2 linked regions of the Oryzias latipes genome follow. The protein of the gene in region 1 interacts with the protein of each later gene in a pairwise test. Links are inferred from orthologs where the notes say so. Each region holds a gene or a part of one and is shown in the gene's direction. Other genes may lie near its edges.

Region 1 (7,065 bases):
TACATTAATATAACTTCAAATAAACTACTTAAAATGTTTCTACACTCAGTAAATGTTGGCTTTATTCTGTGCTTCAAACAGAAAAAACACTTTCCTCATAGGATAGAATTCAACTTTATTGATCCCAGAAAAGGAAAATTACCCTTTTACCTTAGCTCTAATAAAAACAGCAGATAGATAATAGATAAAACTAAAAACTAAGGAAACAAGCATGCAAAACTTAAGAGAGGAAGGTGGAGTGAAAGAGGAAAAAAAGACAAAGATTGGGTCAGAAAGATAAGTCTACTTAAAGAAAAAGGAACTGGCAGTTTTTTTCAAAAAACATTGAACAGTTTTTTTTTCTTTTTACTCTAATCGAAATAGAGTAAATCCTGAGAATATTTGACGAAAATGTGTAAATGTAAGATCTTTTATTTTAATAAAATGTAAAGGATCTCTTTGTCTTCTCAAGAGCAGACACCACTTCGTGGAGCGAAGAGATTAAAAAACGCGCCGTTTCACCCAACAGTTCAATGTAAGCCTGAACACATAAGGTGTGGTAAGCCCAGCGTTGTGACTAACTCAACAAAAAAGTAATGGATTACTTACCATAACTAAATACATTTTTGATTCAACAAAGCCGTGTCAGGAATTACTAACTCATTTTTAATCATATTTTACTACATACATACTCAAAAGCTTGTTTTACACCAGGCTAACCAACAAAAATATTGTTGTTCAAAGCAGTAAGAACACATTAGTGCCCTTCTTTTTCCGCTTGTGGCTTTTTTTTGATTAACTAGGCTTAAATATGGAGCAAAAGTTCCGATTAAGTTTCATAAAACCCCTTTTTGTTTATTTTTGGTGTTCCCAAATGTGCCCTAGTCCTGTTGGTGTGTGCTAACAATTTCAGTCATTTTGTCCTGCTTTTATTAGACAATATTACCATTTGGGCCTCTGTTTGTGTTTACTTTTTTTCAAAGTAGATAATATAGTCCCCCGATTTATGGATTTAAGGGACTAAAGCTGAGGGTTAGCCTCATAGTGGTTGCCCCCCTACTTAACCAAAAATGATAGTGGTAATTTAAAACAAAATTAATCTGAAAGTAAAATGCTTTGTCACTATAATGTAACGTCTACTTCCGCAGGTACAGAGAGTAACTTCAAAGTAACGCAGGGGTCGTGTAAAGTCTCTTAAGTTAAAACATCCCAGTTGAAGGTTGTCTGGTTTCTGGGTGAGTAAACCCTGTAAATGGGGTCAATGGGAAGTCCTTTCGTAAAAGTTCTCAGGTGTCAATCAATGTTTTATCAAGTCTACAGTAAAGAAGCCTGACCTGTGCTAGCATCCGGTTCCGTACTGACGCCCCCACCCCTGTCCCTAGTCGCCCCCGCCTTGCACCGCTAAAGCCCCCCCCGGAACCGTGGAACACTTCAGAGGCGCTCAAACCGTCACCGACTGGGGGGGAGAGAGAGACATGTCGTGTTCAGGCACGCAGCAGGGAGAGGCCGGCTGCGGCCAAAATGGAGCCTACTGTTAGCTCTATCAACACCACCATAAGCAGGGCTGACCAAACAGGAAAAGAAAAGTACACTTTCATAATAAAACAAAGTGGTTCATATATTTTAAAACGTTGTGGTGTGCTTTGGTTAAGTGGACAGGAACTTTTTACAAAAAGAGTAATAACTTGAAAATACATATAACCTACATAGAAATCGTAATTTTATGGCTAAGTAATGTGATAGCATTTAGGCAGTGAATTTTATTTTGAAAGTCTTAAACGGATGAAACTCAAACGCGCGTCAATGGCCACGCTTTTAGAGCCACATCTCCTCCGCAAACAGCCCGCCACCCCCGCATTGCCATAGCTCTTGCCCCGGCTGCACCAGAGGAGCAGGCCGCGAGGATTTTTCTTTTCTCTTTTCTTGGAGCTCTCGCAGCGATGCGGCTTGAAAGGTTGCGGACAAACACACCTACTCACCGTGGGAACCCGAGGCCTGCTGCTGCTGTCGGCGGCAGAGAGCAGATGTTCCCGGCACGCCGGAGATTTCCCCCCCGGACGGGTTGGGGAGTTCAGACAGAGAACCGAGATGTAGCGAGACAGCCTCACTTGCCTCTGCCCTTGCAGGATCAAAGAACTTCCGCACAGACCGCTGCTCCGTCAATTCCCCCCTACAAAATAAAACACTTCCTTTCAGATACAGTTCCACCGAAGTAAAACTGGATTCATATCTGCAAATAATGTAATAATATCGATAAAAAAATGATTATCTTCTTTATAAATAACAGTTGCAAAATTGACAAAGATAACTAACAAAATGTTCATGCTAAAAATGAAATTATTTTTGTTTATTTCACTGACACATGCACAAAACGTATACAGATAATTAAATAAATAGTATTAAAGATAATGAAAACAGTGTTTATAGAAAAACTGAGTTATTTATATTTAAAGTAAATGCAATATGCACTTTATTTTTCTGCAGTCTTCTATTACATCAAAACTATTCCAGAGTTAGAATAAAACTTTAACAGCTCTCATAAAATGTTTGATTTTTTAAAAAAAAAACAATAATTGTTTGTTTAATTGTATTAATGGTATGTATCATCTCAGGAATTTGTCCTGTCATTTCCTCTGGATATTTATAAGCTAGATTGTATTTTATTTTGTAAACAGTCTTCCGGAAGCGACACATGCTGTTTTCTGTCTAGCTTGATGCGAGGTTAAATCGGGCTAACCGGATACACCCATTTTACAATAAACAATGAAGAGCACTCACTCTGTTTGTTTTTCAAAAACTGAAACAGAGTTGCGTCTTAAATGTTTAATTAAGTGACAAGACGTCTCACTCTGCTTATTATTTATTTATTTTATTTTTAATTTTTTGCAGAAGAGTTCAAAAAAACCGAATTACATACTAATAACAATAATTTTAGAACTTGCTTTATTCATTTATTAAATGTTTGTTTGTCTGTGTATTTTCAAATTTAGCAATTTGAAAGTCAAGTTAGAATGCGTAAAATACAGGCGCTTCTGCTCATACCAATAAAGTACAGTATTTTATGTATTAATAATGATTTTTTGTAGCATTTGTTAGGTTAAATCGATAGGGTGGAAAGAGTTGTTGCTCTGAAAAGGCGAGAAGGTTACTCTGATCTATAGACGTTGAGACACACACAAAAATAGACAAATTAATGCATAAATACTTTCAGAACAAAAACGGTGGGGAAAACAAAAATTTGCCTTTTGATATTAACAAAAAAAAATTTCTTTGCAGCTTATTGAAAGCTTTGCATTTTTTCTCTGCAAGCAAAGATACATTTCTGAATTTGCTTTAAAGATGTTTTGTTTCAATGTTTTGGCATTGAAAACGAGTCTAATTTAAAACGTGTACTTTCCTCTAAGTCATCGAGGTTGTATGCACTGATTATATAATTCCTTTGTTTATGCATAGTTTTTTTTTATAGATTTTCTATGTCTTCATATGACACTTTAAAAAAAAATATTATTTGGAATTTAATCTTTTACCGCGAGATCACGTGATCTGGCCCTTTGACCCATTCTCTCGCGATAGGTGGAAGCGGCTCTCGGCGAGACCGTGTCTGCATCGACAAATCGGCTCCCGAAGACAATCTGCTCGTTTCCGAGGTAAGAGGGGATGATTAACGGCGCGCGTGCACGATCCGCACGGACAGAGGGCGTGTTTGCAAACGCGAATGCGCTCACGAGCGCGAGTGTGCGGACGCGAAAGGGATGAGGGCGTGAGTGTTTATATGCATGTGGATGAGAGTGACGAAGGATGGATGGATGGATGAAAGGATGGATGAATGGCTGGATGGAGGAATCTGCAGTCTGTCGGGCTCGAGGCAGCGTGCTCGTGCAGAAATGTTGCGGGGGGGCACAGCGGTCCAGGTTCATGGGTAAAACGCCCTCCTCCTGATTGTCTCCTCCCCTCCTCCTCTTCCTTCTGACCTTCAGTATGATCAGAGGTCACATTCTAAAAGGTATTCAGAGTTCTGTTTTTCACACCTGAGTTCAGGCCTGAGGTGGAAGACCTGAAATGTATTCTGTGATGTCAGAGGGTGCAAGCATCCTAGAGACAGACAGTTGCCAGGTGTACAGGTGGAGCTTGAGCATCTCATCACAGACACTCCAGGCAATTTGGGCTTTTTATTTTCAAAAACAAAGTGCCATGGAACTGAAATATTTAGACTTTCATGTGGCAGCATAACCAGAACAACGATCTGCAGAATTGCCGTTCCAGGTTTGGCCGGATGGTTCCAGGACTGAGCAGGGTTGGTGTATGTTTGTGTTTCAGACGGGTCATGGAGGTGTCGTCTCACAGCCTCTTCCTGCTGCAGCAGCTCAACGTGCAAAGAGAGTTTGGCTTTCTTTGTGACTGTACCGTTGCCATCGGAAACGTCTACTTCAAAGCTCATCGAGCTGTGCTGGCCGCCTTTTCCAACTACTTCAAAATGATCTTCATCCATCAGTCCAGGTGAGAACATTTCCATTTTCTCAATAGTTAAAACTAATTTGGTAAAAGACACCTAAGTTACAGGGACATGGTCCTTGATTTTAATAGCAGGACTGTAACCATATTTGTTTTGGAATTGGTCGATGATACATTTTTGCATTTTTGCAGAATATGATGAGATGGGGGCTCAATTTTAGTTTTAGATGCCCATAAACATCCTATTTGAAGCTACGCACACACCGGGCTTGTGACGCGTGTTCAAGAATCTGCCAAACCCGGATTTAAAATGTGCATTTAGCTCATGATGTTCACACTGGACAGGCAGGGAGCCAACGGAAGTCATGTGACCACATGTGTTCATTGATATATGCTGTCATTGGTTCTTTTTGATCTCCAACACCGGATGTTCGTTTTTTGTCCTCAGTGAGTGCATAAAGATTCAACCCACCGACATCCAGCCGGACGTTTTCAGCTATCTCCTACACATCATGTACACAGGCATGTGTCCCAAACAGCCTGTAGACCAGAGCCGGCTCCAAGAGGGCATCAAGTTCCTCCACGCCTACCAGCTGTGCCGGAAACCCGGTGAGGCCACCGCAGATGCTGCTGCAGATGCAGTCCGCATGTCAAATCTGTACGGCATCCAGATATCCTCCCAGCTAGCCAACAAGGGGGTGCCAGGAGTTCCCAAGGCAACGACGGTGTCCCGCGGCACCCCTGAGGATGGAAGTTCCATGGACCGTGGGGTAAGGTCCCATTCGCAGCTGTCGCTCGCCGTTGGACTGGAAGGGGTTCATTCTGACCCGCAGGCGCTGCGGAACATCTGCTCCGTGGCTTCTGGAGACGACTCGGACATCTCGGCTCGCATCAAGCAGGAATGTGTGGAGGAGGAAGACGGCGAGGGAAGAGAAGGTACTGTTGTGGGTTCTCCGGGTCAAGGGTGTAGTCCAAGCCAGGGGCCCCTCGCTGAACCCAAAGAGCACGCACTCGTCTTGCTATGTCCTCGATGTGGGGAGCGCTGTTCATCCCCAGAAGGCCTGCAGGAGCATCTGTTTAGCCATGCCCTCAACCCCGCCCGTCTAATAGAGGGGCTTTCACAGGGTGGAGAGCTGGACGCTGGTGTGGAGGAAGGTCCTCCTGGGGCCCAGGAGCAGCTGGATGCAGGGTGTCTGGAGGAGGCGCTCAGGCAAAGCCAGGCACTCGCCAACCAACTGGCAGCGGAGTTGAGAAGGAGCCGGGGGGGAGGAGGTAGTAACAGCCCCGCCCCCACCACTCTGCACTCACGTAAACGGAAGATTGCCTGCGCCGTCTGCAGCTTGCGCTTCACCCACAAGAGCCAGCTGCAGGAGCACATGTACACCCACACCGGCAAGCCCGGACGTTACCACCGCTACGGCCGCCTCTGCAGCCAGCTGTTCCAGAGCTCCACCCACTTCTGTGAGGGTGGGACAGACGCGGGGGGAGCCTCGGCACTCTCTGAGGACGCCAACAGGGATGCTCAGGACAACGGCAGCTCCTGCTACTCACTGGACTCGGAGGTCTCCCAGGAGAGCGTGGATGGCGTTCCTGTTGAGTGATGGCGCCCAACGGTGACAAGACTGTTTGGATGTTTGTTTTCTAATGGCTCTGTACCTGTGCAGGTGTGTGATGTGAGTCAATCATGTGGTCATGGTGTTGGTTGGACTCTGAAGAGCCTCGAGGATTGGCGGAGTGGGTCTAGGTCGTGTTTTGCGCTTCTGGACCATCAATCTTAAATGGGAAAACACCATCAGACTCTCTGATTCTTTGGTTTTCATTAACGTGTGGGAACAGGAAGTGGCACACACGTTGTGATTCCGCACTAGTGGTTATGTGGAGGACAAAGGCGAGCCGTTGGACTTCGGTGCCGTCAGACGCAGTAGTGCCTTGGCGTTGCGTCTGACAGTCGTTCTCCTTTAGAGCTTCTTGACAATCCGCAGCTCTGTCTGCCAGCAATTCCTTTCAGATGCAGTTTAAACTGAGACAAAAATCGACAAATGTCGGCTTTCTGCTTCATTTCAGATTTACAGAATCATCCTCGCCCATCATGAGCTTCAAGCACCGACCTGAAAAAAAACACATTTTAGAATTATTTTTTTTTGTCTCTATACGACCAACTTTTTTTAAGCAAGAGAACTCAAAAGGCGAATAAAAGACAAAGCTTTTTTTTAACAGATCAAAGTGAGAAATGACGTGTTTTCGTTGGGATTAAGGGAGATAAGACTGAGCAGAAAATGTCAAACAGTGTTTCCTGATGGAGGCAGGAACAGATGAAGGAAAGTTCCTCACCTCAAAAAGAAGATGAACCGCTCTTTTCATGGCTCATTCATCGTTTTCTCTGTTAGCTTTACATACACGGTTGAGTAAAAAAAGGAATAAGTAAACATGTGTGATGTCCTTTCAAAATAAGAGTTTTTTTTTTAGAGAAACAGAGAAGTTTACTGTGACTATTTTGTTCCTCTTTAGTCGTTTTATTTCTGTGTATTTTCCTTTATTTGTTCTCAGTCTTTCTCATTTCCTGTTATTTTGTTTTAATTCCAATTTTCCTTTTTTCGTTCTGTTGTTTTTGAGTTTGTAGTCCATATTTTCTCA
Region 2 (5,403 bases), on another chromosome or scaffold:
TACATACAATTTCAGACTTGTAAGAAGTGATGTCTGACTTAACTACTAATTGTTAAAACATATAAATATATTTGGCCACAAATTAATTGCTGTAAAAGGAATAAGGGGGAGATTAGGAACTGAAATGACATGACATAAATAGAAGTTCTACTTATTTTATTTAATCTGAAATAACTTACTAGATCTTTATATCAAAGCTTAAAGGCATACAGTAAACATTTCATTTTTTGACTTTTGCTCAAATGATATTCAAAGATCAAATTAACAATAATTGTTGTTTTTGTAATTTTCTTTTTTTTTTTTGAAGGAAAATGACTAAAACCTAAATATGACTGTTTCCTGGTACAAACATATGTTATGACATATGTGTTTACATAATACTAAATCTTTTCAGAAATCGATGAAGAATGCAGTTTGAAGGTTTTTTTTGGGTGAATGTGTTGGCACTACAGTGTGATCCATCAGCTTGTAGTTTCTTGTCTTTTGACCCTCAGTCCTGTCTCTACATACGTGTGTTCACCCTGGTGACTGATGTGGTTTTAGTGGCGAGGAGCCAGAATTTATTCAGACATGTCCGTGAGGGAATCTTTTAACCCCGAAAGCTATGAGCTGGACAAAAACTTCAGGCTTACACGCTTCACCGAGCTCAAAGGCACAGGCTGTAAGGTAATATGTTTACATTATAATCTACTTTGGATAAAAGAAGGATTTAAATAGAAGATATATTGTAATTTGGGTGCATTGTTTTTTTTTAATGACTACAGGTCCCCCAAGATGTGTTACAGAAGTTGCTAGAAAGCTTACAGGAAAACCATTATCAAGAGGATGAACAGTTCCTGGGGGCAGTTATGCCTCGATTAGGTAAAATCTTCTACTCTTAAATTTGATTTAAGACTTTTTCATACTTATTAATAAGTTGTAAAAGAGTATCTTGCTAAATCGGATCCAAAGACATTCATGCTTTAAGGACATTCAGTCAGAAAGTGCACAACTATTGTGTTTGTTGTCTGACAACAACCCCTTTCTCTGTGTTGTAGGCATAGGAATGGACACATGTGTGATTCCTCTCAGACATGGTGGTCTTTCCCTTGTCCAAACAACAGATTACATCTATCCTATTGTAGATGACCCCTACATGATGGTATGGACCTCACCTGTATCTGGAATGATTGACTGGCTACCCTTTGGTTTTGTTGTCTCAAAACGCTCTTGTACTTTCATTTGTCCCTTTTTTATTTTATTTTTTAGGGAAGAATTGCTTGTGCCAATGTTCTAAGTGACCTTTACGCCATGGGAGTAACAGAATGTGATAACATGCTGATGCTTCTGGGAGTCAGCAACAAAATGTCGGAGAAAGTAAGAGACTTCCTGTAGATCATGTTTCTGAGAAACAGAGGTTAACTTTTCTTTTTGGGATGGTGTTTGTTCACCATCTGCTACTAATATTTACTCTTTAACAAGTGTTCATATCTTGTAAATAAACCATTCATAAACAGTTTAATGCTCAGGAACACATAGTCCAATCTGAAGACAGTAAAACAAACAATTTTCTGTGCTAGTGATGTCAGAAATGCAAGCAAAAAACAAACAAACTAAATAAGTTGCAATAATCACACGAAAACGTTAGTATAGAGAAAGTTGACAACATTTTGAAAATGAAACCTGAATTGTGACCCTCATTCATCATAATTGAACATTATTTGTGATTTATGGAACACTGAGAGGTGCTGTCTCAGGAAAAAAGCAAAGCTGATGTAAGCACCTCTAAAGTATGAGCTTGTTATGTTGTTGTTTTTTTAAACCTTGGTGGCCGTTTCAGTATAAAGACTTGGACTTTTTTTATCACGTCATGCTTTTTGTATCAAAAAATCCTCTAAATACACTTTTTTCCTCTGCACTTGTCGGTTGTGTGGCGTCACTAAAGTTTTTCTTCGATTACACCCATCTGACCTGCTGAATGGCTAAAATCTAAGTCTGTACCTCAAAGGTTTTGCGCATTTTTCTGAAAAGCTTGGGCACATATTCTGGCTAAAAGGGTGCTGCAGGTTCTGCTCACCTGCCTTCAGTGAGAGCAGCAACAGCAGTTTGATGTGGGCAGGGCAGAGGACCAAGCCTGCTGTATTCAAGTGATTGGATCATGATCTATTGAGATTTAGCAATACAGTCCTTTCAAGTACAAATAACATATATTATTCTCTGGATCTTTGTTCACAACTCTTTGTGTTTTTAGGAAAGAGACAAAGTCATCCCACTGATCATTCAAGGATTTAAGGACGCGTCAGAGGAGGCGGGCACATCTGTAACAGGAGGTCAAACCGTTCTCAATCCCTGGGTCGTGATGGGAGGAGTAGCAACAACAGTCTGTCAGCCCAACGAGTTTATCATGTAAAAAAAGGCTTTTGCTTCCTAGTGTTGTGTTTTTTCTGGTTAAGGGTAAAACCATAATGGAGACCTGTCCTTTTTTTAGGCCAGATAATGCAGTGCCAGGAGATGTTTTGGTGTTAACCAAACCGCTTGGAACACAAGTGGCTGTCGCGGTGCACCAGTGGTTAGACATTGTACGTGTCCCATTATAATGCTCAGGTAAGAATAATTGTTTCTGAGGTTGTCAATAAAGATTGATAGAATTCTTTTCTCCTAGCCTGAAAAATGGAACAAGATCAAGCTGGTGGTAACCCAGGAAGATGTGGAGTTAGCCTACCATGAAGCCATGATGAACATGGCTCGGCTTAACAGAACAGGTAAAAAAAAAAAAGAAATCAGGGATGTTACATAAATTTGGTTTTCAACCACTACTGGATCAATTGTTCAGGAGTTCCATTTTGAACCACAGCAGCCCCTGCAGTAACAGGACTGCACTGCGGCCCACATATTTTGATTGATTGACTGACTTTTAAGCAATTGATAAAAAACAGAGAAAAAAAAGGCAATACAGATACATAGATATATCAAATCTATTTGAGATATTGATTTATAAACTGATCAGAAATGTTATAAAAGAAAATGATGATATCTACTTGCCATTATAATCGCTACTTACTTTTTATTACTTTTTTGCATTTTCTAAAAGAAGGAAAACCAACATTTTTTGGTTGTTTATAGGTTTAGCTGTTGATTTAACATTTACTAAATATAAAAACTATTAAGTCCCACTCTGATCATCTTTTCAACTATTTTAAAAGCGCTCCTAGTGGTCTTTTAATTATTATTGTGCCATTTTTCATCAAAATCCCCAAAAACCTGTGTTGTTTTCTGAGACATAGTTTCTGCAGGGCAACAATAGTTCATTAGAAATTCACCTCTGAGTGACTATTGGACTATTGAAGCTGAGCAACCCCGCCCCCCTTCCCCTACCTGCTGCAGAGTATAGCAGGAGGCTTGTGACACACCCAGCGTATTTTCTACGTCACAATTTTCTAACAGCATTTTTTTTAACTGCTCCTGAATCCTAACATTTTGATAAAGAAATACTCGGTAAGGCAATTTTAAGACTAATTTTCTTTATAGATGACCTCTCATCAGAAAAAGGCCACAAGTGCAAGTTAAAAACACAAAAAACAATCTTTAGGAGATTTTTTTCAAGGGTTTATTTTATTGTTCTCTGATCACAGTAGGAAAAAAAAAAGCAAACACATTTTCTTTCCCTTCGCAGCTGCTGGCCTTATGCACACCTTCAACGCCCATGCAGCCACCGACATCACAGGCTTTGGCATCCTGGGACACGCTCAGACGTTGGCACGACAACAGCGCAGCGAGGTCTCTTTTGTCATCCACAACCTCCCAGTTCTCGCCAAGATGGCTGCTGTCTCCAAGGCCTGCGGGAACATGTTTGGACTCATGCATGGCACCTGCCCCGAAACATCAGGTGTGTGGTCACCTGGTTCTATCTTTGCACAAGCGGATGTCCTTTTAGTTTAAGCTCCACAGAGTTGGCAGAGAATGATGTTGATTTTAACCACAGACCTGGTTTTTTTTTTTGCCTTTTAGCACGTTTTTATCTGTTTTTATGTAAAGAAATCCCCCCCTTTTTTTTTAATAACATTTTGCTTATGAAAGTTTGACATTTTAGGATGTAGGTTTAATTTGTAGAATACCAGACTCGACATTTTTCCTGCATTAAAAGGGGCTCATAATGTCCTAACAGTTTTTTGTTGCAGCAGAACTCAGAAGTGCTGCTCAACTGATACTATTTTGTCATAGAAAAAACAATTGACCTTTTATAAATCTGGCCTGGAGGACCCATGTCTAGTTTTTAGGAGCACACAGAAAGAACTATTAAAGAACATCATGCTGTATCTTTATTTTTATGTTGAAAAGTAAAGGGAGTCACAATATGTTTTGGGATTGGTTAAAAAGTAATGACAAATGTTTTCTAAAAGAGAAAACTGGAAAGTTATTTAAAAAAATGTTTCCGTGCAGGAGGCTTGCTGATCTGTCTGCCCCGGGAGCAGGCCGCCCGCTTCTGCGCTGAGATTAAATCCCCCAAATACGGAGAGGGACACCAAGCGTGGATCATCGGGATCGTAGAGAAAGGAAACCGCACCGCTCGCATCATTGACAAGCCCCGAATCATAGAAGTGGCGCCGCAAGCGGCCACGCAGAATGTCAACCCGACTCCTGGTGCAACATCCTAATCCCGGCTGGGCTGCATCACAGACCCGAACCCCAAAGCTTGGTTGACGGATTTTAGACCCAACTACAAAATCCTTCTAGTGTTGAAATATATTTACAAAATAGTCAGTACTCAACAAAGACTGGGTTGGGCTGAATCAGCGTGGAAACAGCGCCCCACAGTGGCTCTGGCGCAGGCTACACCCTCAGTGGACCCGGCCTGCAGCGCCCCCATCAGTAATTGGCAGGAACTACATTATGCCAGAATCCATTTGGCCTTTTATGTCTGTTCTGTTTAATTAAGTGTGCTTGACTGACAGGCAGCTTCTGTTTAGAGAACCATGATGAAGACAAAAATCTGATACTGTTGATTCATTTTGAATCTTAGGAGGTCTTTCTTGTTCGTCTCTTAAAGTTGCTTTGGTCAAACAAACACGCAGTGTATACGCGTTTTTGTTTGTCGTCCTCACACTTTGTACAGTTGAAAGCCTAGTTTTAGTTCATTGCTGTAAGTGATGCCTTGAAAGACATAGTGTGACCAGAATGGCTTTTTTTTGGTTTGTCTTTTTATATTATGTTGACATTTTGTATCATCCCCGCGTAAACGAATAAATACTACATTTACAGATGGGTTCTTTTCCCTGTTTTAGAGCTGCAGTGGATCGTCTACATGCAAACTCTCATTTCTAATATGGTCACAGAAATGGAAATCTGTTTTAGGCACAACAGACAAATCCTACACTACCCGCATTCCCAATGTATGAGGCCACAGAATGAAGATGAGATTCATCT

The links.
Region 2: the proteins of zbtb25 (region 1) and sephs1 interact in binary tests that used the Homo sapiens proteins (3 or more experiments, as listed by UniProt). The two-hybrid records come from large-scale screens. The link is inferred for Oryzias latipes from reciprocal best matches to the Homo sapiens genes ZBTB25 and SEPHS1.

The regions. Positions count from the first base shown.
Region 1 is NC_019882.2:12,022,661-12,029,725, reverse strand, and holds the start of zbtb25 (zinc finger and BTB domain-containing protein 25), read left to right. Parts: upstream 1-3,299; 5' UTR 3,300-3,626; intron 3,627-3,638; exon of another isoform or gene 3,639-3,982; intron 3,983-4,296; 5' UTR 4,297-4,303; coding exon 4,304-4,476; intron 4,477-4,879; coding exon 4,880-6,032; 3' UTR 6,033-7,065. UniProt on the Homo sapiens protein: May be involved in transcriptional regulation.
Region 2 is NC_019864.2:20,626,209-20,631,611, reverse strand, and holds part of sephs1 (selenide, water dikinase 1), read left to right. Parts: intron 1-494; exon of another isoform or gene 495-543; 5' UTR 544-570; coding exon 571-666; intron 667-764; coding exon 765-861; intron 862-1,037; coding exon 1,038-1,141; intron 1,142-1,248; coding exon 1,249-1,356; intron 1,357-2,230; coding exon 2,231-2,385; intron 2,386-2,467; coding exon 2,468-2,558; intron 2,559-2,641; coding exon 2,642-2,741; intron 2,742-3,652; coding exon 3,653-3,865; intron 3,866-4,419; coding exon 4,420-4,634; 3' UTR 4,635-5,403. UniProt on the Homo sapiens protein: Synthesizes selenophosphate from selenide and ATP.